7 linked regions of the Ovis aries genome follow. The protein of the gene in region 2 purifies or fractionates together with the protein of the main gene of each other region. This does not show direct contact. Links are inferred from orthologs where the notes say so. Each region holds a gene or a part of one and is shown on either strand. Other genes may lie near its edges. The genes, in order: PDRG1, PPP1CA, ADISSP, UXT, RUVBL2, RASSF8 and CDC5L.

Region 1 (2,427 bases), on a different chromosome or scaffold from region 2:
ACCTGGACCACCTGACTGAGGCCTTCTGACCCTTAGTCAGAGGTATCTTGGCCCCCACAGTCACACGTTGGCATAAAATGTGAGACACTCCATGCCATTCTTATGCCTGAAAAAAACTTGTAACGGGAATAAGATCCCACAAACTTCCTGTCCGTTCCATCTCTGGTCGGCTCAGGACAACCCTGCCCACTTCCCACAGCTTTAGTGCCACTTACCAGCTGCCCACCCCAGCCTGCAAAGTCTGTGCTCATACTGTCTCCCCCCCTTGTTTCCGGCCCCAAGCTTAGTCCCCAGGCCAATACCTTGGGCCTCAAAGAGGCGATTGACCTTCACTTTAAGTTGTTTCCGGAGTCTTTCTATTTCTTTATCCAGATGTTCCTGATCTGAAAAAAAGAGACAGGCAAACAAGACGAGGTTACACTACAGACAGACCCAAGGATACCAGCCTCTGCCCAGCCCCACTGAAGGCAGGGGTCGGAGCATGTGGGGATGAAAATGGGACTTGGGAGACCAGCTGACGAAGAAACTAAAGGCTAAAGAAGGGACATGGCCTACCCCGACCACTGAGTGAGCCCAGAACAGGGTTGAGCACACTTTTTCCCAACTTGCAGTTTATCAACCTGTTTCCATTATGCAAAGTACCCTGGGCAGTGGATGCGGAAGGCAATACCAGGATTTTAAGTCACCCTTTCACAATGAAATTATGGAAAATTCAGATTTAAGAATAAACAGACCCAGGCTCTTCGAAGATGGATGGAAAATAGGTGGTTGATGAAGTTTACAAACCCACATCCATCCAGGTGAGGAGTTTTTGCAACAGCAGGACTGTGGGAACTGTGAGCTGAACAGTCAGCATTCTGTCTCATGCTCACTCTTAACCAAGGTCATGGCAGCAGAGAGAAGGCTGTCTTACAGAATGGACTGTGCCCAAAGGCAGATGCAGCATGAGAAGTGCACCCAACTGATGACACCCAACCAATTGATGGCAGGGGAGAGAAGGCTGTCTTACAGAATGGACTGTGCCCAAAGGCAGATGCAGCGTGAGAAGTGCACCCAACTGACGACACCCAACCAATTCCATCTGCTGTTTTCACCCACTCGTGAGTGACATTTTTGCCTTTCCTACAGACCTTCATTCTTTTTGATGGTGGTAACCCAGGACCAGCTAAGCATTCTGGCCTGGGCAGTCGCTCTGGTTCTCATTGTAAATGAGTAACCACCATCTCGCATGACCTTTGTTTAGCCTGTATCCATCCCTGGGAAACAGACATGCTGCACTGGAACCCCTCTAGGTCAGTGACAAGACCACACTCGTGGGCCAAGAGAGCCGGGGCCCTGACCCTCAGCCCAGGCAGGCGAGGCCCTCTGGAAGCTTACTCTGAGCAGCCTCCAGCCCCTCTGCAAGTGCAGTGACAATTCAATTCTATAACCATGATGATAGTGTATGTTCCACTTTCTTTTCTTTTTTTTTTTAAAATGTTTATTTATTTAACTGCGTCAGGTCTTAGCTGCAATGCGTAAGTTTAGCTGTCCTTTGGCATGTGGGACCCTAGGTCCCCACCAGGGACCAAACCCGAGTCCCCTGCACTGGAATGTAGACCCTCAACCACTGGACCACAAGGAAGTCTCTAGTGGATGTTTTTCCACAGAAGTTTATCCTCAAAGCTGACTTACTTTCCTTTGATAGAATTTCAGTTTCAACAGGGATAGAGTTACCCTGTTTTCAGCGGCAGAGGCAACCGTGCTGCTGGTTCTCTTGGCCCACGTTTTCAGGGGTGAGGAAGAGAAAACATGCGTAACCTGCCCTTATCCCAGCCAAGGACCCATCTGCAGCCTGACCGTTTGCTTTCATGACTTTTCTCCAAAGAGCCTCTAGGATCATGGTTGTGAGATCCGTTGTGTACCTTACTTAGTGTGGCAAACTCGAGAGCTTCACCCTCCTTAAACCTCTATCTTCAACCCTGATGCTACTACAGGGGATGTGAAAATATGAGCACGTGCCTTAGACCAATGAGGTATCAGCAGAAGTCCCTAAGGAGTACGGTCTTATTTCCAAACCAGAAGGCAAGGCCATATATGGAGAAAGCCCTCCTACCTTTCCTCTAGCCTGGCTCTCAGACACAAGGCCTGCAATCATGACACAACAACCAAGAGAATACACTGACTCTGCTAAGCAGCTGTGCCAGTCCTGGACTGCCCATCTCTGGAAAACTTCTTACATGGGATGAACAGAACTGTATTTCCTTAAGTCCTAACTGCTAGATTTCTGTTATTTGCAATCCAACTCATTCCTCAATGACAAACAAGCACTATGCTAGGTAAATATTATTTTATCTGAACTTTACAACAACTGTGCTATGTAGACATATCCCCTTTCAGAGATTAAGAAACAACTCAGTGGCACAGCAAAGATTAAAATGCACACAG
Region 2 (4,044 bases):
CGGGGCGCCTCTGCAGCCAGGCCTCAGCCCCAGGACCTGCCCGCCTGGTCAAAGAGGACAGGTTGCAGGGCATCGCACCATACCCCTCTGGTACCCTCTCCTCTTGTGGGGTGGGGGTGGGGCACAGGCCCAGAGGGGCAGAAAGGCCAGGCCCCCTACCGGAGACCCAGGCCCAGCCCCTGTCCCAAGGGGCCCAGCTTACCTCCCTGCTGCACCTCACCTCCTCCTCTCACTTCCTCCTCAGCCACAGCTTCAGCAACCCGCTGAGGGCCCCTCCCAAGTGCGTGGTGGGGGGGGTTACCCCTTCCTCTCCAGGGCTCTTCCGGCCTGCCCCAGTAGCCCTGGGCCATGGGCTCCTCCCACCACCCCGGTGGGCTAGGTGGGTGCAGGCCTGGGTTCTTGTGCTGGGTGTGATGCAGCCAGGGCCTGCCAGAGGTAGAGAGGCCACGCTGCCTCCAGATGTGAGGTCACAGGCAAATAAAACACTCAATTCAGGGTTCCAGTGAGTATTACACTTTATTTAACGTGACTTCTTTTGTTAACGCTTTCGACAAGTCAAACAGTAAGTCATTACTGCGCTACTCAAAACACAACGACGAGACATTAAAAAATAGTAGTAATGGTGTAGCATGCGCCACGGGCAGGGGGACCAAAATGAGCTCGGCGTTCAGCGACAGGTGTCTGGGTATGGTCAGCCGCCCGCAGGCCACAGGGACCCTAGAGGTGAGAGCTCCTCCGTCAGTCTGAAGCCAACCCTTGCTATCTTTGAACCTGTTTCCTTTCCTGCACTTCGTGGATTTAATCTGCACTCTCTGGGGAGACCCAATGAGATATCAATGAGGTCACACCACCTTCTAGCCCGGGACAGAAATGGGAAGGACTATTGGGCCCTTGAAAGAGAAAAACAACTCCACACTACTTCCGGCCGCACATCCTCGGTGCAAGGGTGGGTAACTCCTCAAGGGCGGAACTAGAGTCGACCTCGCCCCGTGAAGCCCCGCCCCCAGTGTAGGCTCCGCCCCCGCAACCAGGTCAGCCCGAGCCCCGCCTCCCGAGCCGCCGCGGGCCCCGGGCCTGGCGTCCAGTGGAGGCGCTAGAGCGCAGGGGCGGCGGGCGACCGGGCGGGCCGGGGCGGGGCCGGGTGCGGCGGGGCGGGGCTGCCGGCAGAGGAGGCGGGGCGGCGGGCCGGGGCGGGCCCGGGCGGGCGGAAGGAGCACCAGGCCGGAAGGAGGCCGCGGGAGGGCGGGAGGCAGGATAGGGCCCGGAGGTGCTGGGCCAGAGCGGCGGCGCCGCCATGTCCGACAGCGAGAAGCTCAACCTGGACTCTATAATCGGACGCCTGCTGGAAGGTTGGCCGGGGAGGCGAGGGAGGTGGGCGCCCGCCGCGCCCTGGTCCCCTGCCCGGCCCGGAAGTGGCGCGCGGGTGGACCTGCCCCTCCCAGGGCCAGCTTTGACTGGGCGGGGACGGGCCGCGAGGTCCCGTGGCCACATCGTGCCCCCACCCCACCCCAGTCGTGGCGCGCTGGGAGGTCTGGGGTTGCTCCCCTTGCCAGAGCAGAACCGGGGTTGGCGGTGGCGGGGGTGGGCGCGCAAGGATTGGCCTGGGCTCTTGGCTGAGGGAGAAACCTGAGAAGCCTAGTCCCCCAGGAAGGGGTCCTGTGCTGAGGTTTTGGATGGCCTCTGCGCACAGCAGTCCCCTCGCGAGCGCCTTGAGGGCAGTTGGGGGTCCCAGGAGGCTCAGCAGCAACAGCTGCCCCTGGGCAAGGCGGGGCCGGGAGGCCCAGGAGCCCCTACCCAGAAGTGCCTTTGGGGCCACCAGTGACATTCACCCTCTTCTTGCCTGAGGAACCAGGGTCCTGACGCCTCTTTCCGCCCCCAGTGCAGGGCTCCAGGCCTGGAAAGAATGTACAGCTGACGGAGAACGAGATCCGTGGTCTGTGCCTCAAATCCCGGGAGATTTTCCTGAGCCAGCCCATTCTTCTGGAGCTGGAGGCACCCCTCAAGATCTGCGGTGAGCCCCCAGCCCAGGTCCCCGTGGCCTCCTGAAAGCGGCCTTGCCCCCCACCCCTCCCAAGTTTCTCCTCCCTTGGGCCCAACCCTGACCCTGGGTTCACGTTTAGGCTGCCCTAGTGCTGACCTGGTTCCCTGGGTCACAGGTGACATTCACGGCCAGTACTATGACCTTCTGCGGCTGTTTGAGTACGGCGGCTTCCCTCCAGAAAGTAACTACCTGTTCCTGGGGGACTACGTGGACAGGGGCAAGCAGTCTTTGGAGACCATCTGCCTGCTGCTGGCCTATAAGATCAAGTACCCGGAGAACTTCTTCCTGCTCCGTGGGAACCACGAGTGTGCCAGTATCAACCGCATCTACGGCTTCTATGATGAGTGTGAGTGGGCAGAGCATCTGGGCTGCCCTGGTCCTAAAGGGCTCTCCTTGCCATTCAGTGCGACCCTCGTGTTGACCTGGTGGCTGGGGTGTCAGCGTCTGACAAACACCTGCTAAGCTGAGTGCCGTGAAGGTAGCACCAGCCCATGCCACCCTCCCCGACCCTCCTAGAGCAGATCCTGGCACTCAGGAGGGACCTAGCCAGTGGCTGCTGGCTGAAGGGCTGCCAGGATTCTAAGGCAGGGCCTCACCTGCTGACACTCCCCTCCAGCGCATCCGATACTTAAGCACTTAGGATGCCTGTTGGGACTGGACTCTGTTAGACAGAAGCCAAGATGAACCAGACCCTGTCTCGACCTGGCCCTGCTCTTGTGCTGGGGGTGGATGCCAACCTTGAGGTCGTGCCAGAAGTGGAACTCTGGGGTTCCCGTGGACTTGGCTGCTTTAGAATTCTGTCTGGGAGGCAGTGGGGTAGTAGGGGTAGGGGGCGGGGGTTCGGTTTCCTTTTTTGCCTTCCATTCTCTCCTCCTAGCTGTGTCTGAACAACACACAATGTGTCCTGGAAGGCCTGGAGACCTGGGCTGAGGGTGGAGCAGAGGCCCTCTGGTGAGCTGTCTCCTTCCCCCTGGGCAGGCAAGAGACGCTACAACATCAAACTGTGGAAGACCTTCACTGATTGCTTCAACTGCCTGCCCATCGCTGCCATCGTGGACGAGAAGATCTTCTGTTGCCATGGAGGTGAGCACAGCTCTGGGCATGTGAATTCTTGAGCAGGATGAGCCTCCCAGGGTGAGCACCCCTGGGGACCTTGGGACAGAAGCGTCGGCTGGAAGATGTGTTCCCAGTCGCCAGGAACAGCTCTCCCTGGAGTCCTGGTATGGGTAGTACTTCTTCCATGACGTGCCCCCGCACTGCAGCATTAGGCTGCACCCACTGTTGTGTCATGGCCTCGCCTTCTTGCATGGAGTTTGCTTGTCCCCTTTCTCCAGGGCTTCCCTAGTGGCTCAGATGGTAAAGAATCTGCCTGCAATGCGGGAGACCCAGGTTTGATCCCTGGGTTGGGACGATCCCCTGAAGAAAGGAATGGCTACTCGCTCCAGCTTTCTTGCCTGGACAGTCCATGGGGTTGCAAAGAGTCGGACACGACTGAGCGAAAACACTTTCTCCAGGGAGCTCTGTGCTCCTTGAAGGGACAGGGACTTGGAAGAGGCAGAAGGTGATGAGTTCTGCCTTTGTAGGCTCCCAGGAATCCTGGAGAGGTGGGGGGCAGAGGCTGATTGGCAAAGGCTGCCTGGAGGAGGTGACCTGCCCCCTGTGCCCTCCAGGCCTGTCCCCAGACCTACAGTCCATGGAGCAGATCCGGCGCATCATGCGGCCCACAGATGTGCCTGACCAGGGCCTGCTCTGTGACCTGCTGTGGTCTGACCCTGACAAGGACGTGCAGGGCTGGGGCGAGAATGACCGCGGCGTCTCCTTTACCTTTGGAGCTGAGGTGGTGGCCAAGTTCCTGCACAAGCATGACCTGGACCTCATCTGCCGGGCACACCAGGTGGGCTGGCAGCCCCCATCTGGGTTAGAGCAGGGCTGGCAGCCAGCTCCTGCTGAACTAACCGCCTCCACCCTCGTCCAGGTAGTAGAAGACGGCTACGAGTTCTTTG
Region 3 (3,588 bases), on a different chromosome or scaffold from region 2:
TTTCTCCAGGGAAATACTGCAAGTGGTGCAGCTGGATCACAGGGTACAGCCAGTGATTAGCAAGTACAGCCAGAAAGCCCTCTTGAGAGGTGTGCCCTCTTTTAGCAGAGTGTTGGAGCCATAGGGACTGAGCTTTATCACACAGTGACATCATCCTGATCCTACTGAAAGGCTAAATGCTGCCTCAAAGGACAGGGCCATCCATTTCCTGAAACTAAGCAGGAGAGCGTATGCCCTGTGAGCTGTGGATACGGCACCCACATTGCCCTTCCTGGACTGGCACTCCAGTCAGCCTACCTGCCCAATAGCTACCCTGGCCTGTGACCCGTCACATGACTGAGTTTCTGAGGATGGCAAAGCTGTGTGTATGAACAACAGAAGTTTCCCAGGCTGTGAATCAGGGCTGTTGGACACAGTGAGCCTTTGAATGGACAGGCATCCATGTTCATGTCCCAGCAGGGCAGGCTGGATTCCAGGTTCCATGACTGGTGCCAGTCTTGTGGGCGAGCCCTGGACAAAGCTCGTCTAGAGTCTGTTTTTATGATTCTGACCCACCCTGCATCTTGTGCTATCTATGTTGCCTGGTGGCCCCACCATGAGTGACCAGAGGACCAGTGTCCCTGGGCACATGCTGATAGTGGTGGGGGCAAGTGGATAGCCTGTGTAGTGGGGTTTTGAGCCTTCCCTGTGGGCAGTGGCTGGTGCCTTGCTGTGTGGCAGAAGTAGCCAAGAGGTACAGGGAGGACTATAGCTCAACCACACTGTGGCCTTCAGCCAGTCATTTCCTGGCTTCTATTTAATCATCTATAGAATGGGCCACCAAGGAACTTCAGGGCCCATGAGACAGATATGGGACAAGTGATAGGGGTGGGGTCCTTGAGGAAAGGGCCTGGAGCTGCCAGGCCAGGGGTGTGAACCAGCTAGAATGATGGAGGGAGTCAGAATCCCCTGGGATTGTCAAGGACGCAAGTGGAGGGCCCACAGGATCACCAGTGGTACAACCCGGGCGGACCCTGGGGGAGACTGTAAGTGAAGGTGCCTCCATCCCCTACCCCTCCTGCTGCAGGTTGGCTTCCTGAAGATCCTGCACAGGTATGAGATTACCTTCACTCTACCCCCAGTGCACAGGCTGAGCAAGGACGTCCGAGAGACACCTGTCCCCAGCCTGCACCTCAAGCTCCTCAGCGTCATGCCCATCCCAGAAGGTGCGTCCCCTGCTTGGGGTGCTGGAAGCTTGCCCTCCTCTAGTAGAGCCTGGGTGTGAGTAGGAGTGACAGCATGGGTACTTCCTTCCCCCTATCAAGGGCTGATGGGTGGCTCAGAAACCAGGAGACATGATGCCTCTTTATAGGCCTGCTGTGTGGCAACTTGGCAGGTCCCATGCCCCAGCCCTCACTCCTGGACAGAAGTCCACGGGCTCATACAACTGACCTATGTCTGTTCACAACTGACCTATGTCTGCTCACCGCCTGATGGTTACTTCAGGGGGATGGTGGGAGCCCTCTGAGGAACTGCTCTGGGCCTCTAGCCCTTGCTTTGCCAGGGGAAACCTACTGGAACCTCAGGAACTTTGGGCAGCTGCCTCCCAGCCCCCACCAGACCTGAAGTTGCTTTTCCATACCCTGCCACCTTCAGCACCCCTCCTCCCAAAGGCTAGCGAATCAGTTTCACCATTTACAGAAACCCCAGCTTCAGTTTCATGTCTCCCCTACCTCCACTTCATGACTTTGCCCTTAAGTGGGTTGAGCAAGCCTCCTCAGGTCTTTGCCTCTTGCCACCTGATCTGCTCAGTCCCTGCTCTGCTCCTCCCTCCCTCCCCCATCACCCTCTCTCCCTGCCTGTGTTTTTGGGGAATCCCACCTCTTGCAAGCCTGAGTTTGACTTCTGGCCTACATGTAGAGCTCATTGAAGAATGGCAAGTTCCAGAGGCCTGTGTACCCAGCCCTGGGGGCAGGGGTGGAGGGGAGTTTGGGCCATCCTTGCTCCTCTAGAGGTCTTGGTGGTGGGTGGGGAACCAGTGAGTGCTGGGGGGCAGGAGGCCACAGAGGTGCTGATCGCCCCGGGCAGGTTACAGCGTCAAGTGTGAGTACTCAGCGCACAAGGAGGGCGTCCTCAAGGAGGAGATGCTGCTAGCCTGTGAAGGTGGCCCCGACACCTGCGTGCGCGTGATGGTGCAGGCACGCGTCATGGGTGAGAGCTTGAGGCCTAGGTCTGGCTAGAGGAGGGAGGCACCAGCTTGGCTACAAGGAGTTTCCACCCTCCTTGAGCCTGAAAAAGGGATCCTTGTTTTGGCCCATTCCCAGTCTCCTTGGTGGGTGCCTTTCTCCCCATCCTCTAGCAGAGCTGGGAGGGAAGGTAGAGGAGTCTCCTTGGAGTAGGTGGGGCCAGGGTCCACCCTGGCATACTGACTTGTCGCCTGTCTTGCAGACCGACACCACGGCACACCCATGCTGCTAGACGGCGTCAGGTGCGTGGGTGCTGAGCTAGAATACGACTCCGAGCATAGTGACTGGCGCGGCTTCGACTGAGGCCCTCGGTGCCACCTGCCTCAGGGCCCTCGGCCTTAAACCCAGCCTCATCCTCCAGATGCTGCATGACGGTGCGGCTTCCTCCCCCTTCCCCAGGGTGGGTGTGCAGGCGGAGGGTCCATGGGCCTCTACGCTAGAGCCTTGCCCACGCCTCTCACCTCATTTAATGTGCCACCTCCCTGCCCCTCCAACGTCCTCTTCTCCCACTTTCTCCTGTGTGCCTCAGCCTCCTGCTGGAAGAAATGGATTGAGCCCCCAAGGAGGCTATCTGAGGAGGGCCAGGGGAAGGCCTGGGGTGGCTTGTACCCACCCCCACCCCAGCCATAAGGGCTCCAGTCAGAGCCTAGGGGAGGAGGGAGCTGGCTCTGTGGTGGAGCTGCCCGTTACTACTGCTGCTGTCTCGCTTTAGCCACCTCTCTTGTCTACTCCGTTTTTTCCACTGCTGTCCACGGTGAGGAGGGAGATGCAGTTCCCAATCCCTACCCCCTAGGTCTGTGTTGTTTTTAAATGACTGGTTGGGATAAAGTCCTGAAGAAATAAAACTTCCAGTGGATACCAGAGGCCAGCAGGGTGTTTGTTCTCCAGGGCCCTGAGAATGCCCAGTCCTTGCAGATGGGCCGAGGAACAGTTTTGGCTACTTACTCTTTTTGTGGTATTACAGCACCTAGCCCCAAAAAAGGTATGTGCGGGTGGTGGCGTTTTAGGCCTGCCAAAATGAGAGTCTGCACAGGGAGGGGTCTTCCACCCAGGTCAGAGAGGTCTTGTGGAATGGGTGTTCAGTTTGGGAGGCTTGACCAGAGGCAGCAGCACTCCTTTCTAGTCAGTTCCCAGCCCCATGCACAGCTGAAAAGCTCCCTTTGTAGAACCTAGCCACCCTAACCCTTCCACTACTCCACTATTGGAGTCTCCCCTGTGAGGTACCAGAAGGGTATGGTTTCACCTTGAGTTTTATTGTCACCTTAGGGTTCTCAGGCAGGTGGGGCTGCTGCATGTCATGGGAGGGCAGGTACACTAAATTGATGACAGAGCTGGGACCAGTGCTCTTTCTGTCCTCCCTACC
Region 4 (3,953 bases), on a different chromosome or scaffold from region 2:
AAGATAACCTATCTTGGGCAGAGGACTTCAGCAACCCTCTATTTGACGCCCCAATTAAATGACGTGATCAGCCATGAAATTAAAAGATGCTTTGCTTACTCCTTGGAGGGAAAGTTATGACCAACCTAGATAGCACATTCAAAAGCAGAGACATTACTCTGCCAACAAAGGTCCGTCTAGTCAAGGCTATGGTTTTTCCAGCGGTCATGTATGGATGTGAGAGTTGGACTGTGAGGAAAGCTGAGTGCAGAAGAATTGATGCTTTTGAACTGTGGTGTTGGAGAAGACTCTTGAGAGTCCCTTGGACTGCAAGGAGATTCAACTAGTCCATTAAAGGAGATCAGCCCTGGGTGTTCTTTGAAAGGACTGATGCTAAAGCTGAAACTCCAATACTTTGGCCACCTCATGAGAAGAGTTGACTCATTGGAAAAGACTCTGATGCTGGGAGGGATTGAAGGCAGGAGAAGAAGGGGACGACAGAGGATGAGATGTCTGGATGGCATCACCGACTCGATGGACATGAGTTTGAGTGAACTCCGGGAGTTGGTGATGGACAGGGAGACCTGGCGTACTGCAGTTCATGGGGTCACAGAGTCGGACACAACTGAGTGACTGAACTGAACTGAACTGATTAGACATAGTGCGTTATCAACCTCTGCTTGAACTCCAGTCATGGACTGCGGGCTACAGAGCTGGAGTCGTCAAAGGTGCATATCAGAAAATTTGTCTCCTTTTCAAAACTTATGTTTAATGCTGACATTTATTTCCATTATTGAAAGTCAAACCCAAGCTTCCCTTGTGAAAACTCAAAATCCAGGGCGATGCAAGGATATACTTTCCTTTTTACAGACCACATTCATAATCTTTTCTTGCCCGGCTGCTTCTGAAGCTCTGACTTTTAAACACCAAAAGCTGTACTCGCTCTGTGTGTACCGCCACCTCCGGCACCCGCCAAATCCCATTAAACCCCACCCCCAGCAACAGTGCACTATCCCCATAGGCTTGTTGCGCAGTCCAGGTTCCCACGCTCTTCAGCCTTTCTTAATCAGCGGATTTCTTAAAGCCCCGCCCTTTCCTTCTCTCCGGCGTTTTTTTCCGTTCAGGACTGCCTCACCCACCCTGGTTATTTGGTTGGCCAGCGCCCCCGCCGTACGTCATTTACCCGCGCCACCCGGAAGCCACGGTTCTTACTAACACTTCTTTTTGCCGGCGGCTTTCAGGTAACGGCAGCGCTTGGGTGTCCCTGTGTGATGGGGTCCCAGAGCTGGGAGGGGCGGAAGGCTGAACCCTCGGCATAAGCCGGACGACTCAACTCCCAACACTGAAAAGGTGCAGTTGCACTGTGCTTGAGACCAAACTGAGACCAGTGGTCTTCAACGTGGTCTTTCTCCCTCCCCATTCCTCAGGAGCCCATCATGGCGACGCCCCCTAAACGGCGGGCGGTGGAGGCCACGGCGGAGAAAGTGCTGCGCTACGAGGCTTTCATCTCTGACGTGCTGCAGCGGGACTTGCAGTAAGTGACAGAACGGGGGGCGGAGCTATTGGAGCGGTCCACGTGGTGAGCGGGGCGTTCGAAGTCAGGGCCTGGCCTTCTGATTGGTGGGTGAGGCGTTCAGAGCCCGGCCCCGTGCGCCATTCGAGGAGGAAGGAGGGGCGATATCCGGGGTGCAGCGTCGGGTGAGGAGGGAGACTTGGTGATTTAATGGTGCCTGTGTACGCGCATGCGCGGCTTCCGATGACCTTAAAGGGTTAAGAATTAGAGTTCTGAAGCTGGAGTTTTCAGGTTCGAATCCTGGCTTGACCATTTTGCTTTCCGTGTGAATACATACTTCGCCTCCACTTGCTGTGCCTCAGTTTCCTCATCTGTGAAATGGGGAAGTTAATGCAGCCTTCCCCACGGCAGTGGGTTTGTGTTTTCAGTGTATTCAGTCCTTGTAAAGGGTTTAACTTGGATACTAGAGGCTCAATGAGTATAAAAAATTATTATTACTATCATTATTAATCAGAGCAGGAAGGAGAGTGTTCAGGTCTAGGATTATGAGCTCCTAAAAGAGATGGAGGATTTTTTTCTAGGGTGAGAATGTCATATTCTGATTGGAGGGAGGCATTGGGAGTAGAGTGTAATAATACTTGTAAATAAGAGCTAACTCATATAGAGAAATTTGTTTGGAGGGCACTATTCTAAATGCCTTATAGTAAATACTCATTTAATCCTCCTAATGACTCTATGAAGTAATACTCCTCATTCCTATTTTTAAAATGGGGAAATTGAGTTCCAAAGAGATTACTCACTTGCCAAAGTCACACAGCTAGTAAAATGGAAAGCCTGGATTCAAACCGAAGCAATCTGACCCAGAGGCCAAACCTTGACTTCTGCACTAAAATTCCTGTTTAGACTCTGGTGACAGGAGAGTCTCAGGGGTTCATGGTGTGAGATATTCCAAGAGGGACAGGGTTTCCTCTTGGTCACCATTTTACTCTTGTCCTGTCATGTCCCATCAGAAAGGTCCTGGACCATCGCGACAAGGTATATGAGCAGCTGGCCAAATACCTTCAACTGAGAAATGTCATTGAGCGACTCCAGGTAAAGATGCCAGGGTTAGGTAGTCTTTTTGTGGGCAAAGGAGGGGGAAGAGAGGAGATACCCAAGACCAAAACCTGTCACCTGACCTAAAAGTTGACCACTGATCCCTACCTCTTTTTCCCTGGCCCCACAGGAAGCTAATCACTCGGAGTTATATATGCAAGTGGATTTGGGCTGTAACTTCTTCGTTGACACAGTGGTGTGAGTATCTACCTGCCCCTCTGAGCCCACAGGGTTCAGCTTCCCTTTTCCTTCATTCAGCAAATACTTTTGTTAGTATTTGCTATGAACCAGACACTGCTCGGTGCTGAAGATGTGACAGTAAATAAAATAGGACAAATTATCTGCCCACCCTGACCTTCAGTTTGGGGAAGGTGGAGGATGGGGAGTAAAATAAATATTAAACTGTGTAGTATGCTAAACAGTGACAAGGACTTCTCCACTTCTGATCACCACTGTTTCCTTAGCCCAGACACTTCACGGATCTATGTGGCCCTTGGATATGGTTTTTTCCTGGAGTTGACACTGGCAGAAGCTCTCAAGTTCATTGATCGTAAGAGCAATCTCCTCACAGAGTAAGTCCATTGCATGAGGATACTGTCTAAAACAACACCATTTGTAACATCCTTCTTCCCCCTTTCACCCTGGCTACCTGGGATGGTACCTAGGAACCACTTTCCCCTCTCTCTAGGGGAGAGAACAGTGGGGATGCAAAGCTTAGCCCCAGGTGTAGCACATAATAAGTACTCAATAAATGGTCTCTGTATTGTTCACTCACACAAAAACTTATTGGGCATTTGCTGTATGCCAGGCTCTGTGCTTGGTGTTGGGGAGGCAGTATGAACAAGACAGAAGAATTCCTTGAAAGCTTACATTCTACAAGGGCTATAACTATTACACATCAGCACAGTTTTGACCAGATCCTGGAGGTCTCAGCCTGTAAATCAGTAACAGTAAAACAAGTTACCTCTGACTTCACCTTCTGCTAATTTTCCTGCTCATTCACTGTGCTCTCATCACATTAACCTTCACAGGCTTCTTTAAATGCCCACAAAGTGATCCCACCTCAGCACAACTGCAGTAACTGTTCTCTGTCTGCCTACAGCACTTTCCCCCCGATATATGCATGGCTTCCTTTTTCCTTATTCACTTGAAGTCTTGCTTAAATGTCACTTCCTATAACCTAACTTGAAAATTGCAACCCTTGCGCTCCTGATTCCCCTCCCTTGTTCTACTTTTTCTTTTTTTCTGTAGCACTTATGACCTCCTAATGTTTACTGTGTGATTTACTTTTTTATAATGTTCATTGCCTGCTCCCATTAGGATATAAGCTTTGCAAAGGGAGAGATTTTGTCTACGTCTCAAGTCA
Region 5 (3,500 bases), on a different chromosome or scaffold from region 2:
GCATGGTGGGCCAGCTGGCGGCCCGGAGGGCAGCCGGTGTGGTGCTGGAGATGATCCGAGAAGGGAAGATTGCTGGCCGGGCGGTTCTCATTGCTGGCCAGCCAGGCACTGGGAAGACAGCCATTGCCATGGGTAAGGTGCTTCTCCAGGCAGTAGCTCTTTTGGCCTCACCGGATGATCCTCCCATGTAAGTCAGGGTCAGGTTCAGCCATGTCTAACAGACAGCACAGAATGGAAGTGGCTTAAACACTAAGGCTTTCTTCTGTCACATAGAAGAGTCTAAACATAGGCCAATTCAGGCTTGTTAAGCAGTTCTATGAGGGCTCCTACCTTCTTGCCTCGAGATCACTTGCTTCCATGTCAGGGACACCTTGGGTTACAAAAAGGTGGCCTATGCTCCAGCCATCCCACCCATACTCCATATAAGAAGAAGGAGAAAGGAATTGTAATGAGGGTGTACCTCCTAGAGGGAGCTCCTTTTAAGCAGCTGTCTCAGGGCACCCACATTCTCTTGCTTATATTTTATTGACTAGAAGTTAATGACCACACTCTACTGCACAAGAGAGAGAGAGGCATTAAAACTTTTTTTTATATTTTAATTGGGACTACTGTTACCTTACTGAAATGGGCGTTCTGGAACAAAGGAAGATGTGAAAGATGAGCATTGTATAGACAATCAGCAGTCTCTTTTGCAATTCATTAGTAATTTAAAAGCTTTTTACTCACAACTGTCCCTTATCCTTGTTGAGCTCTTATCTGTCCTTCAAAACTGCTCTCTGACATCTTTTCCTTGTTGAAGGTTTCCTGGAGTCTCTTCCCACTCACTCTCACCTTTGTGCCTGGACTGTGGGGCCAGGCAGTGAGACTCAAGGCAACAGCTAGGTCCTCAGTTAAGAAAAAGTAACACTCATATTTGGGGACACCAAGATGATTAAGACCAAAGTCCTGACTTTAAGGGGCTTCCAGCCTGGGGCAGGTGTTAGTGGACACAGTCCCGTCCATGTAGAGAACAGAGGAGGCTTCTCCTCCGATGAAGGGTGATGGGGAGAGAATGGGGTGGCAGTTGTCAGGAGGGACATCCCAGGTGAGTCAGTACTGGAACTGAGACTCGCAGGAAGTCTGGGAGTCTCCTGAACAGACAGTACGGAACATGATACCCAGGTGCAGAGTGTGGCATGCCTCTGGAAAGGGGACCAGGAAGAGTTGCCACCTCGCACTGGTCAGGAGGGTTCAGTGACTTCCTGTCTGGGAGACTTGGCTCAGAGCTGGGCAGAGCCCCCAGGAAGGGGAGCTGGCAGAGAGGCCCGGAGCTTGGAGTGATGGCAGGAACTGCCCACTGTCTGCCAGCTGACCCCAGGCCCCAGACCATAGAGGAGGCCCTTCCCTGTGCTGGTCCCAGGTCACATATCGGGGTCCCGGCTGAGCACCAGGGCATGCCTGCCCGCCCTTATCATTGCTCCTATGCAGCAATGTCGTTCCCTGCCAGCGCTTGTTATGTTATGGTTCCCATTACCCAGAGGGGCAGGCTGGCTTGGGGAGCAGCTTAGGCTTCTTAAGATAACTTGGTGCTAAGCATTGAAGCCGGGATTCGAACCTGCACAGTCTCTTTTAACCTCTTTCAGCCCCTTGCCTCCACCCCTGCTCATCCCCCCCAAGCCCTGAGGCTAAACAGCTCTCAGAGGTTGGGAGGCAGGTCCAGCATGACTGTAGAGTCATAAAGTTTTTGGTCTGGGCAGTGTGGGGTTCCAACCCAGGGCCTCCCAACATGGCCCGCCATCACTCACTTTCTGCAAGTCTCCCTGTCTGCCCCACAGCACCGAGCCCCTTTTTCCTGTCTGAAGAAGAAGAGCTGGTTAGGGAGATGTGAGGACCTCGTGCCTGGACCACCTACCCAAACTGCCTCCCCTCTTCCTCAGGCATGGCGCAGGCCTTGGGGCCCGACACCCCATTCACAGCCATCGCAGGCAGTGAGATCTTCTCCTTGGAGATGAGCAAGACAGAGGCACTGACCCAGGCCTTCCGGCGCTCCATCGGCGTGCGCATCAAGTAAGCAGGAGTAATGGTAGCTCCCAGCAGCCTTGGGACGCCACCTGAGGGATGCCAGCTCGTCCTGTGCCCAGGGGCCCACAGGGGTGAGCAGTTCCTGAGGGCCCAGGCCGCGAGCTATCTCCTTAGATCTGTTCTCTCGCCAGGGAGGAGACCGAGATCATCGAAGGGGAGGTGGTGGAGATCCAGATTGATCGGCCGGCCACAGGGACGGTGAGTGTGCTCCCAAGTCTAGGCTACCCCAAGGGCTGGGGGTGGGTAGGGTGTGCTGGGTCTGCACTGAGGTCAGAATCCCATGGAAAGTTCGAGATGCAGCTTAGAGTCATCCATATGCCGGCAAGAGAGGGTCGGTTGAATTGATGGCGGTTTGTCCGTTTGTGAGGGGCACAGTGAGCTAAGTGGTGGAACAATGGAAAAGGATATGGAAAAGAACATATTTATGTCTAACTGGATCACTTTGCTGTACAGCAGAAATTAACGCAATATTGTAAATCAACTATACTTGCCCCAAAAAACAAACCAAGCAATGGAATGACGGAGGAGGTCTTGAAGTTTCTCACAGTTAATTCCTAATAGTTAGGCTTACAGACCCGTTGGATTTATAAATCTTAGTACCTCAACTGTACTAACAGTACTAACAGTAAGAATTAACAGGACTTCCTGGTGGTCCAGTGGTTAGGACTCCGCAATTCCACCACAGATTCAATTCCTGGTCAGGGAGCTAAGATCCTACGCGCCTCTCAGCCATAAAACCAAGGCAAAGCAGAAGCAATATTATAACAAATTCAATAAGGACTTTAAGAAATGGTCCACATCCAAAAAAAAAAAACTTTAAAAAAAGATTTAAAAAAACCCTAAAACTTAGCCAGCACCTCCAACCCTGCCCCTTCCTCTGCCTCTTTCCACAGTACCCCATAGAAATAGCCGCCCTCACCCGTTGGAGTTTCATTAGCTTTTATCACCCAACTGTGTATTCCAAGACTGCCCATTTTAAAAACTTATATGTCTTTTAAGTCTTCTGTCATAGTCTGGTTTCCCCTTCATCTCTTTCTCTCTCTTTCAGTTTTTCTGTAGGTCTGTTTTTCACTGACATAAAATCACACAACATAAACTAACCATCAACCCTTTCAGAGTTGCTCCTCCTCCCCTCCCACGCCACCTGCAGTCCCTGGCAACCACAAATCTACTTCCTGTCTTAATGGACTTGCCTCTGATGGAATCTAAGAATATATGACTTTTTGTGTATGTCTTCGAGGTTCAGCAGTGTTTGTAGTTCTCTGTTAAATATTAAGTTACAGGTGTTAATAAAATGCAAAATAAAAGGAAGTCTAAAATTGCTTCAAATCCATTGACCTGATGCACAGTCCTACCTTCTGTTTCTGTGTCTTGCAGGAACACCCTCCTCTTTTTTCATTAGCTTCTCATTTTCAGTGGAAATAGACTTAAAGTGAATA
Region 6 (4,192 bases), on a different chromosome or scaffold from region 2:
CAAATGGGGACATATAATCCCACTCAGTGTATAATATTCCAGTTGTCGATGGTCAGTTACTAAGTCGTGTCTGACTCTTTGCCACCCCATGGAGTGCGGCATGCCAGGCTCCTCTGTCCTCCATTATCTCCCAGAGTTTGCTCAAATTCATGGCCATTGAGTCGGTGATGCCATCCAACCATCTCATCCTCTGCTGCTCCCTATTCCTGGCCCTATACCTAATATCTGCCCTTCTGCTAACATTAACAGTCCACCTTCTACCAAATTTGAAATGAAGATTTACTTTGTTCATACTCTAATTTCTCTCTTCTTACAGAATATGAATTATTATACTTGTTAAAAGAATTGGATGTGCAGCATTTATTATTACTCAATATATGTTACAGTTCTTTCAAATGTTGCTGAATGATTCTAAATTATTTTATACTAATTATTCTTACTATGATCATATAAATCTCACATTTTAAATTCGTTGTGGGGCTGTTTCCTTTCCAGGAACTATAAACTGTATTATTGTCCATGACTGGGTCCTTGATAAGGAGGCTCTGGTTAAACCAGCAGTGTTATAAACAGATCAGATTTCCAGTTTGCAATTAATAAAAATATATAATTGAATACATGAAGGCAAAGCAGAAGATAATTTAATCTTGCTGCTATAATTCAGAGTCATATGGGATCATCATTATAAACCCCAATTATAGCACTGGAAACATGGAGGGAGTTGGTGAGTGGCTTTCAGGCTGAAAGAATGTCAGACAGTTCAGATTTTACTGCATATATTTACAAAGGTACAACTTCATAACATCAAGCACTGCATTCACTGTTTTTCCCCAATATTCTAATCCCAGTACAGGCTCTTGCTGAGCTAGTCTCAGCTGACTAAATCTACTCTTCTAGCCTATAATTAAAAAAATAAGAAAACTTTCATGGTATTAGCCTCTCAAAAACTTCTACCTAAATAAGAAGCCAATCACATTTTAAATCCTATTTCTAAATATATTTGCATTTATTCCTTTTGATATACCCTGTTATAATTTCCTTTTATAGTTTATGCTTTTTCTTTTCATACTGCTTTTCACTGTTTAATAAAACATATTGATCGTCATCCTCCTGCCCCATCATGTTATTAGAGGGTCTTTTAAGGAGCTGTTTATGATTTGGTATCTAAATGTTTTATTATTTTTTTAAACAAGAAACTATCATTAAATTAAAAATTCTTATAGATCTGAGAATTGTTGGTTGTTTCTAAAAAGGCCCTTTATGTTGGTCAAGTAAATCACAATAATTATAGATCTTTGCTGTGTTTCAGTATGTGTACAAGATTTTCATTAGGAAGGATAAAAAAAAACATATTTAATTGCTTTCTACACACATACTGAAGAGAGATTTTATTTTTTTTTCCTTCTAAACTTGTAACAGTGACTAAATGCAGGCTTGGTAAGTTTCTGAAAAACTCTAAATGATCCTATTTGTACAAATTTTAGTAGATGACCTCAGGCTTCTAGGTGGCCTTGATGTCACAAGACTGGAGTTGTAACTCCAGCTATTACATCTGTGTTTTAGGCAAGAATAGTGCTTGAGTCAGCCATGCTCATAAATGAGGACACACAAATGAGTTTTCCTGGAAGGCCCATACAACACCTTCCGTGCACAGGGCCAAAACTTAGTAGCCGCTATCTGCAAGGAAGGCTGTGAGAGAGAACTTCTCATTGAGCACAAAATCAGGTTTCTATTTCTAAGAAAGAAGTGGAGAAACAGAATGGGATAGGCAACTAGCATTATTTGCCTTTTTTCCTCTTTTGGGCTTCCCTGGCAGCTCAGATGGTAAAGCGTCTGCCTACAATGCGGGAAACCTGGGTTCGATCCCTGGGTTGGGAAGATCCCCTGGAGAAGGCAATGGCAACCCACTCCAGTACTCTTGCCTGGAGAATCCCATGGATGGAGGAGCCTGGTAGGCCACAGTCCATGGGGTTCCAAAGAGTTGGACACGACTGAGCAACTTCACTTTTTTTTTTTCCTCTTTAGCACCACTTTTCTCAGATGGACTGTGAGCTCACAGAAGGCTGAGATTATGTCATGTCAATTTGCGTTAAGCTCAGAACCTAGCACAATACCATATTTATTATGTTTCTGCTATGTTTATTATTTAAGGAAATGGAACTCTCTGCTCGTTATGCATTAGAAAGATGATCCAAGGCAAATATAACATGAGCAGGTGACATGAGTTTACTGCATTTATACTGTCATTCATTAATTTCACTGTTATTTCAACTCATATTAATTGAGCTCCCAGTCTGAGCCAGGCCTGTGTCATGCACGGGGGATACACAGACAAATACAAGATAGCCCCTGGCTGTACGAAGGGGATGGGGGAGCGAGGTTGGGGAGCAATTTCAGGGTCACATGGTAAGAGAACCTAGGAGTGGTCCTGAGCCACTGGTTGAGATTAAAGTACTCTGGGTAAAACACAGAGTGTGATGAAGGAGGGGGAAAGAAGGAAAAACAGTGGAGTTAGAAAATAATGGGATGTCTAAGTTAAAATCCACAATTCACTCCTTCCAGCACACATACCTTCTTCGAGACAAAAATGTTTGTTTCTCTCTTGGGACTTCCTCCCAACACACGTGGCTCTTAATGGATCTGACCCACTGACAAGCTTCTTCTGGCCTAAGCCATAGACACGACTGTGTTTCATGGGCCTTATCTGAGCACAGTACAACTATCTTCCCAGCATCCCATCTTCCAAGGTGGTGTTCTGGTGGACCAGTTTGGGAAATGCTGGCCTAGATACATATTTCTCCAGCTTAGCCATATGATTCCATAGACACAACAAAAAGAGTTGCCAGGGATTTCCAGAGAAAGGAATTTATTTCCATGAACTGCACATGTGAACTTAGTGTGTTAACACCTTGGGTTTCAGGTATATAGGTCACCAAAAGGAAAGAGGTTTTATTGGACTAATGAGGCATCATTTCAGCAATCACACAGTCAAAAAAGCTATTCAGATAACAATTTCACTAGTAATGAAGACAGTATCTTTTCTTTCTGCAAATAATTCAGTTCATGACATATATGGCTAGAAATGTATCTTCATCAATTTCTACTTTCTTTGCCTACCCCAGAAAAAGAGGTGTCTTCCTAACCATGAAGCAGAAGTCATAAAAGAGAGATTTGAAGATTCCATTCTGTGGCCTTGAAGATGCAGAAAGAGACCATAAGCCAAGAGATGGAGAAACTAGAAGAGGCAAATAAGTGGATTTTCCCCTAGAGCCTCCAAGACAAACAACAGCCCACATTTTGATTTTGGGATTTCTGATCTCTGGTGCTGCAATAACACATTCTTATAGCCTCTAAGTTTGCAGTAACTTGTTTACAGTTAGCAGCAGGAAACTAATAAAACATACAACATAACTCTAGGTGCTTTTGACTAGTTCATTCACACTGATTCAGGAAAGAGGAGACATATGTCTCTCTCCCTTGGGATTCTCCTCTTTTCTGAATCCACCCTCTCAGATTCTTCTCTTGCATATAAAATCTGACTGTGTCACAGGGCTTTAAGTGCATGAATACTCACTTATTCAAGTTAGGTTACTTTCAGGGAATATAATTAGAGACCAGAAATAAAGGTTGTTTACAAATCCTGCCAAGGACATTTGGTGTGATCTCAGGAAGGCTTAACAGGGATGTGATTTACAGCTAAGAAAGCTCAAAACAAATTATACTATATGCTGAACAAAGAATGAATTAACCACATGGGGCTAAGGTAGGGAAAAGACTTGTCTCGGTTTATCCAGGCTGGACAATGGTAAGTTCACTGGCATCTGTAGCCACCAAGAGGACAACACATGGGCATGAGGACACCTCAACAGGTTCCTGGATCCTAGCAAGTGCTTCTCTTAAACAGTGGACACAGTTACTCAATCATAATAAATTTCATCTTGATTTACATGCTGGTCGTATGAAAGGTGGTTGTCATGAGTCAGTCAACTTGTTCACCTCTGGACAAATGATAAAACCAAGGTCAGCACCCTCCTGGTGATCAACAGAAACAAGATTAAGGTTCTTCTGCTTGGTAAGAGCTGGAGCCCAGGTTCAACAATAATCACACCCCATACTGTTATCACTCATCCCTGTTTCAGGACCTCCATAAAAGAAGGATGACTATTCCAGCAAAACAAGGGAGGCAGGTTCT
Region 7 (3,968 bases), on a different chromosome or scaffold from region 2:
AACAATGGCAGGAGAGAGGGGACAGAAAATGGCTTGCCTAAGACCACTTACGAAGCAAAAGACAGCTAATTCTCACACTGAAATTCCCAACTCCCACTCCCTACTTTCTGTTACATCACAGTGCCTGCTTTTCTTTGGTAAGGTTCAAAGAAATGACATTTTCCTCATCATAATGAAGGTCATTTTGTGTTTTCCACTCATTAGCTGATACATACCATCTGGCTTTGCACTGCTTTGCTGACTTTCTATGCAGCAGTGAGGCAATCCTAGACCACTGGTTTTTCCCATATTTCATCACCGCTGCTTTCAGAATTTCATCCTAAATTTTTTCAAAGGAAAAACAATGTATTCATTCACAAAACTCCAAGTGAGAAAAGACAAGATTTAAATTAACTCTAACTGGGTTGTACTAGGGAGAAAGAGATATAAACACGCACGTATATCCTAAATTTAAAACAAAAGTATAAAACTTCATTACAATAATAAAAATTTAAAAAAAAACAGCAACCCAGAATCAACAAAATGAAAGAAATTAAGAACTCCCTTAGAAGGATATCCTACCCTCCCTTACACACAACCCCTCCCCCAATCCCATCCAAAAATTGAGTGGGTACAGCCCAATGTGAGAAACCCCACTTGACAGAGATTTTAAAAAGAATTCTCCAATGTGTGGTTGTTAGTCTCTTAAAAAGATTATGGCTCATTGATTTACTGATTCACAAAAAATACTGCCCAAACACCAGCCTTGTATCAGGTCTTGTATATCAATACTTGAGAAAACAAGATAAAACAGGACACATCCAGCCCTCAAAAAGTCAAGACTCAAGTGAATCCAATTTCCAATTGAGGCTTCCCAGTTTATGAACAGCATTTTCTCTCCAGTCCCACAGCCCCCACTCTCACCTAAGAATCCATATCTCAGGTCTAACCTAAGAATTGAGTACGTCTCCCCTAAGTCACCAATCAACTCTGCCTCTAATTTCCCCCCAGTCTCTAGATACTATTTCACCAGGGCACCCATTCCAATAAAGAATTCACCAATCCCAAGGGAGCCTGTCAGGCTAAACCAAAGACACCAGGGATATCAGAGCCATAGATGAATGCACTCAGGGCATTTTACTTTTAGGGTTTTTTCCCCACAATGAACTTGAGCTATATGCCTCATATGTTAGCCACTCCTCGCCACTCCACACCCCTAACATCTGAGACTCAAGGACTGCAGGGCTTTGGCCACAGCATCAGAATCCTGCTGTTACTTGATTTGGTACATCTGTCTCTCCCTCAGAAGTCATCTCTTCTCCAACTGAAACAGCCTGGTCCCCTCTGTGCAAGCTGAGAGGCAAGGTTCTCACTGACTTAATTTGTAACTTTGTTGCAGTACTGCTATACTTAATCACATCTTCAACTAAGTATATACTACAGTTATACACCCTACTAGATCCATTCAGCAAAATTTCCCAAGCAAACTTTGTTTGGCACTGTCCGGAGTTCTAAAGATAGCAAGATCTGATCCTGCGCACTTGCAGTGCTGTCTACTGGGGAAAAGAAACAGCAGGTAGTACTTTCTGAAAGATTACTATGTGCCAGACTCTGTTCTAAATATTCCAAATGCAGTGACTCATTTAATTCCGAGAGATAAGTATATTATTATCATCCCCATTAGAAACCTGAGTCTCTGAGAGGTTAATAATCCCAGCATCAAACAGGATGTGATGCTTGCAAAAAAAAAAAAAAAGCAAACCATAACAAATGGATGAGAAGAGGTGTCCAGGGACCATTGCAGGTGCAAATACTTTTTACCGGATGACCAGGCAAATGGATGGGTCTTCTGGACCAATTTCAGAAGAGTTTCTGAACTGTTTTTGAAGGAAGGTCAGAAAGATGCCAAGCAGTAGGAGGATATTTCAAGAAGGTGCAAGATGTAAAAAGACAGAGTGTTCTGGGGAAACTGACAAGTTCAGGGCACTATAAACAGAAACTGCACTAAAACCTTGTTTCTATTTTACTCTTCTACTGTTCTTTGGTTCACCAATGGCACGATCCACTACATTTCTGGAAGCAAAGAGACTATGGTAGGCCTATCTGGCTTCTACCCAACATGAAGCGGAAGAGACAGGCCTTGGGTGACCGGAGGGCGGACAAGTTACGCCGTGGTAACATGACCGCGGGGACGCGGACACAACCAGGTACTTAGGACCTGGCACTCAAACTGCTTCCCCTCAGCAAGGAACTCAAGGAAAGAACAAAGTTGTGGCCACAGCACCTCTTCATTTTTCAACAGCAAAGAGTCGCGGAGCCTGGGATGAGGAACGGTGGGGTGCGGGGGGCGGGGCTTAGAAGACCGACTATCGCAATTGTCCTGTGTCCCCCTCCTACTGTGAGTTCCACCACGGCGGAGGACGCGTCAGCTCAACAAATGTTCACTGAGGGCCTAACGAGTGCCCCGCAGGTAATCAAGCGGTTAAATCACGGTCCCTGTCCTTGAGATGCTCAGATAACTGAGGTCCAGGCACAGGGTAAAGGCCCCGCACCACCCCCCACGCAGACCCCGAAGGCATCCTCTCCACCTCCCGGACCTCTGCGCGCGTGCGCACCCGCAGCCGGAGGGGCGGAGGGCAGACGGCGGGAAAAGGGGACTTACCTCGGTATTCCTCCACACGCCCCCCTTAATCATAATTCGAGGCATCTTGGCGGCGGGGTGTCTCGGCAAGCGGCCGAGCGGAGCTTCCGAGAAGTAGTAACGGCGCGGCGGCCACGGGACCCAAAGCCGCCACTTCCTCCAAGCGCGACCTTCTGCTTTGAAGAGCTCTGCGCAAGCGCGGGGGCGGGGTGGGGAAAGAGCAGGAGTAGCAAGTCTCGCGAGAACTGGAGTGACTGGAAGGAAATAAGTGCCTCGATGGTAAAACTCTACTCTAGGGAGACTGACGGAAAATCATCAAACCACTCTAGCCAAGGTACTCGAAGCCGCGCGCATGCCCAAAATAGGTTGGAAGAAACCGCGGCTTTCGCGAGATGTCGGCGGAGGCTCTTGGCTGGGAATGTAGTCCTGGGATTGGTCGTGACGTCACGTTGTGGCAAAGAATAGGAACGTCACTCCTGTAGGGTTTAACCTCGGCTGGTCTAAAAATAGCGTTGATAATTTATTAACTTAGCACTTTATTAAGCATTTAACGAACAAGAATTTATTCAAAAAATATTCAGGGAGAGGCAATAGCTTATTTAAGCCTAAATTTCCTAACCTGCAAAATAGAGACAATAATAGTGCCAACTTCATAGGGTTTTCCTAAGGATTGAATAGGGGTTTCCCTGGAGGCTCAGGTGGTAAAAGAATCTGCCTGCAATTCGGGAAACCCGGCTTCGATCTCTGAATGGAAAAGATCCTCTGGAGAAGGAAATGGCCACCCACTCCAGTATTCTTGCCTGGAGAATTCCGTAGACAGAGGAGCCTGGCGGGGTATAGTCCATGGGGTCTCAGAGTGGCAGACGACTGAGCAATTGCTGCTGCTACTGCTAAGTCGCTTCAGTCGTGTCCGACTCTGTGCGACCCCATAGACGGCAGCCCGCCAGGCTCCCCCGTCACTGGGATTCTCCAGGCAAGAATACTGGAGTGAGTTGCCATTTCCTTCTCCAGTGCATGAAGGTGAAAAGTGAAAATGAAGTCGCTCAGTGGTGTACGACTCTTAGCGACCCCATGGACTGCAGCCCACCACGCTCCTCCATCCATGGGATTTTCCAGGCAAGAGTACTGGAGTGGGGTACCATTGCCTTCTCCGGACTGAGCAACTAACAAGGGTTAAATGAGATCGTAAATCCATCGTAGTATCTGATACCTAAGAAGTGCTCACAAAAATGGCAACTGTTACTACGAGAAGCGCAAGCTCAAGTGATCAGAGATTGTCCCAGAAACAGTCATGTCAGAGTTTTCCATTTATTGCACTTCAGTCTACATGGCTTAATATTAATAGCAG

What was found.
Region 1: the proteins of PPP1CA (region 2) and PDRG1 purify together in Homo sapiens (affinity purification with mass spectrometry; 4 studies listed by BioGRID and IntAct, counting the BioPlex papers as one, with this or other methods). This does not show direct contact. The link is inferred for Ovis aries from reciprocal best matches to the Homo sapiens genes PPP1CA and PDRG1.
Region 3: the proteins of PPP1CA (region 2) and ADISSP purify together in Homo sapiens (affinity purification with mass spectrometry; 4 studies listed by BioGRID and IntAct, counting the BioPlex papers as one, with this or other methods). This does not show direct contact. The link is inferred for Ovis aries from reciprocal best matches to the Homo sapiens genes PPP1CA and ADISSP.
Region 4: the proteins of PPP1CA (region 2) and UXT purify together in Homo sapiens (affinity purification with mass spectrometry; 5 studies listed by BioGRID and IntAct, counting the BioPlex papers as one, with this or other methods). This does not show direct contact. The link is inferred for Ovis aries from reciprocal best matches to the Homo sapiens genes PPP1CA and UXT.
Region 5: the proteins of PPP1CA (region 2) and RUVBL2 purify together in Homo sapiens (affinity purification with mass spectrometry; 4 studies listed by BioGRID and IntAct, with this or other methods). This does not show direct contact. The link is inferred for Ovis aries from reciprocal best matches to the Homo sapiens genes PPP1CA and RUVBL2.
Region 6: the proteins of PPP1CA (region 2) and RASSF8 purify together in Homo sapiens (affinity purification with mass spectrometry; 3 studies listed by BioGRID and IntAct, counting the BioPlex papers as one, with this or other methods). This does not show direct contact. The link is inferred for Ovis aries from reciprocal best matches to the Homo sapiens genes PPP1CA and RASSF8.
Region 7: the proteins of PPP1CA (region 2) and CDC5L purify together in Homo sapiens (affinity purification with mass spectrometry; 3 studies listed by BioGRID and IntAct, with this or other methods). This does not show direct contact. The link is inferred for Ovis aries from reciprocal best matches to the Homo sapiens genes PPP1CA and CDC5L.

What each region holds. Positions count from the first base shown.
Region 1 is NC_056066.1:61,134,451-61,136,877, forward strand, and holds part of PDRG1 (p53 and DNA damage-regulated protein 1), read right to left. Parts: intron 384-2,427; coding exon 202-383; 3' UTR 1-201. UniProt on the Homo sapiens protein: May play a role in chaperone-mediated protein folding.
Region 2 is NC_056074.1:41,699,855-41,703,898, reverse strand, and holds the start of PPP1CA (serine/threonine-protein phosphatase PP1-alpha catalytic subunit), read left to right. Parts: upstream 1-1,244; 5' UTR 1,245-1,294; coding exon 1,295-1,349; intron 1,350-1,879; coding exon 1,880-2,011; intron 2,012-2,156; coding exon 2,157-2,387; intron 2,388-3,019; coding exon 3,020-3,124; intron 3,125-3,711; coding exon 3,712-3,935; intron 3,936-4,016; coding exon 4,017-4,044. Other genes in the region: TBC1D10C (carabin), read right to left, coding at 1-73. UniProt on the Homo sapiens protein: Protein phosphatase that associates with over 200 regulatory proteins to form highly specific holoenzymes which dephosphorylate hundreds of biological targets.
Region 3 is NC_056066.1:51,162,602-51,166,189, forward strand, and holds the end of ADISSP (adipose-secreted signaling protein), read left to right. Parts: intron 1-1,066; coding exon 1,067-1,205; intron 1,206-2,067; coding exon 2,068-2,190; intron 2,191-2,427; coding exon 2,428-2,528; 3' UTR 2,529-3,088; downstream 3,089-3,588. UniProt on the Homo sapiens protein: Adipocyte-secreted protein (adipokine) that acts as a key regulator for white adipose tissue (WAT) thermogenesis and glucose homeostasis at least in part through activation of protein kinase A (PKA).
Region 4 is NC_056080.1:57,168,961-57,172,913, forward strand, and holds the start of UXT (protein UXT), read left to right. Parts: upstream 1-1,153; 5' UTR 1,154-1,220; intron 1,221-1,406; 5' UTR 1,407-1,415; coding exon 1,416-1,513; intron 1,514-2,502; coding exon 2,503-2,584; intron 2,585-2,717; coding exon 2,718-2,785; intron 2,786-3,051; coding exon 3,052-3,159; intron 3,160-3,819; exon of another isoform or gene 3,820-3,953. UniProt on the Homo sapiens protein: Involved in gene transcription regulation. Acts in concert with the corepressor URI1 to regulate androgen receptor AR-mediated transcription. Together with URI1, associates with chromatin to the NKX3-1 promoter region.
Region 5 is NC_056067.1:55,305,493-55,308,992, forward strand, and holds part of RUVBL2 (ruvB-like 2), read left to right. Parts: coding exon 1-132; intron 133-1,916; coding exon 1,917-2,046; intron 2,047-2,192; coding exon 2,193-2,259; intron 2,260-3,500. UniProt on the Homo sapiens protein: Possesses single-stranded DNA-stimulated ATPase and ATP-dependent DNA helicase (5' to 3') activity; hexamerization is thought to be critical for ATP hydrolysis and adjacent subunits in the ring-like structure contribute to the ATPase activity.
Region 6 is NC_056056.1:189,611,432-189,615,623, reverse strand, and holds the start of RASSF8 (ras association domain-containing protein 8), read left to right. Parts: upstream 1-1,392; 5' UTR 1,393-4,192.
Region 7 is NC_056073.1:17,846,986-17,850,953, reverse strand, and holds the start of CDC5L (cell division cycle 5-like protein), read right to left. Parts: upstream 2,801-3,968; 5' UTR 2,687-2,800; coding exon 2,642-2,686; intron 320-2,641; coding exon 216-319; intron 1-215.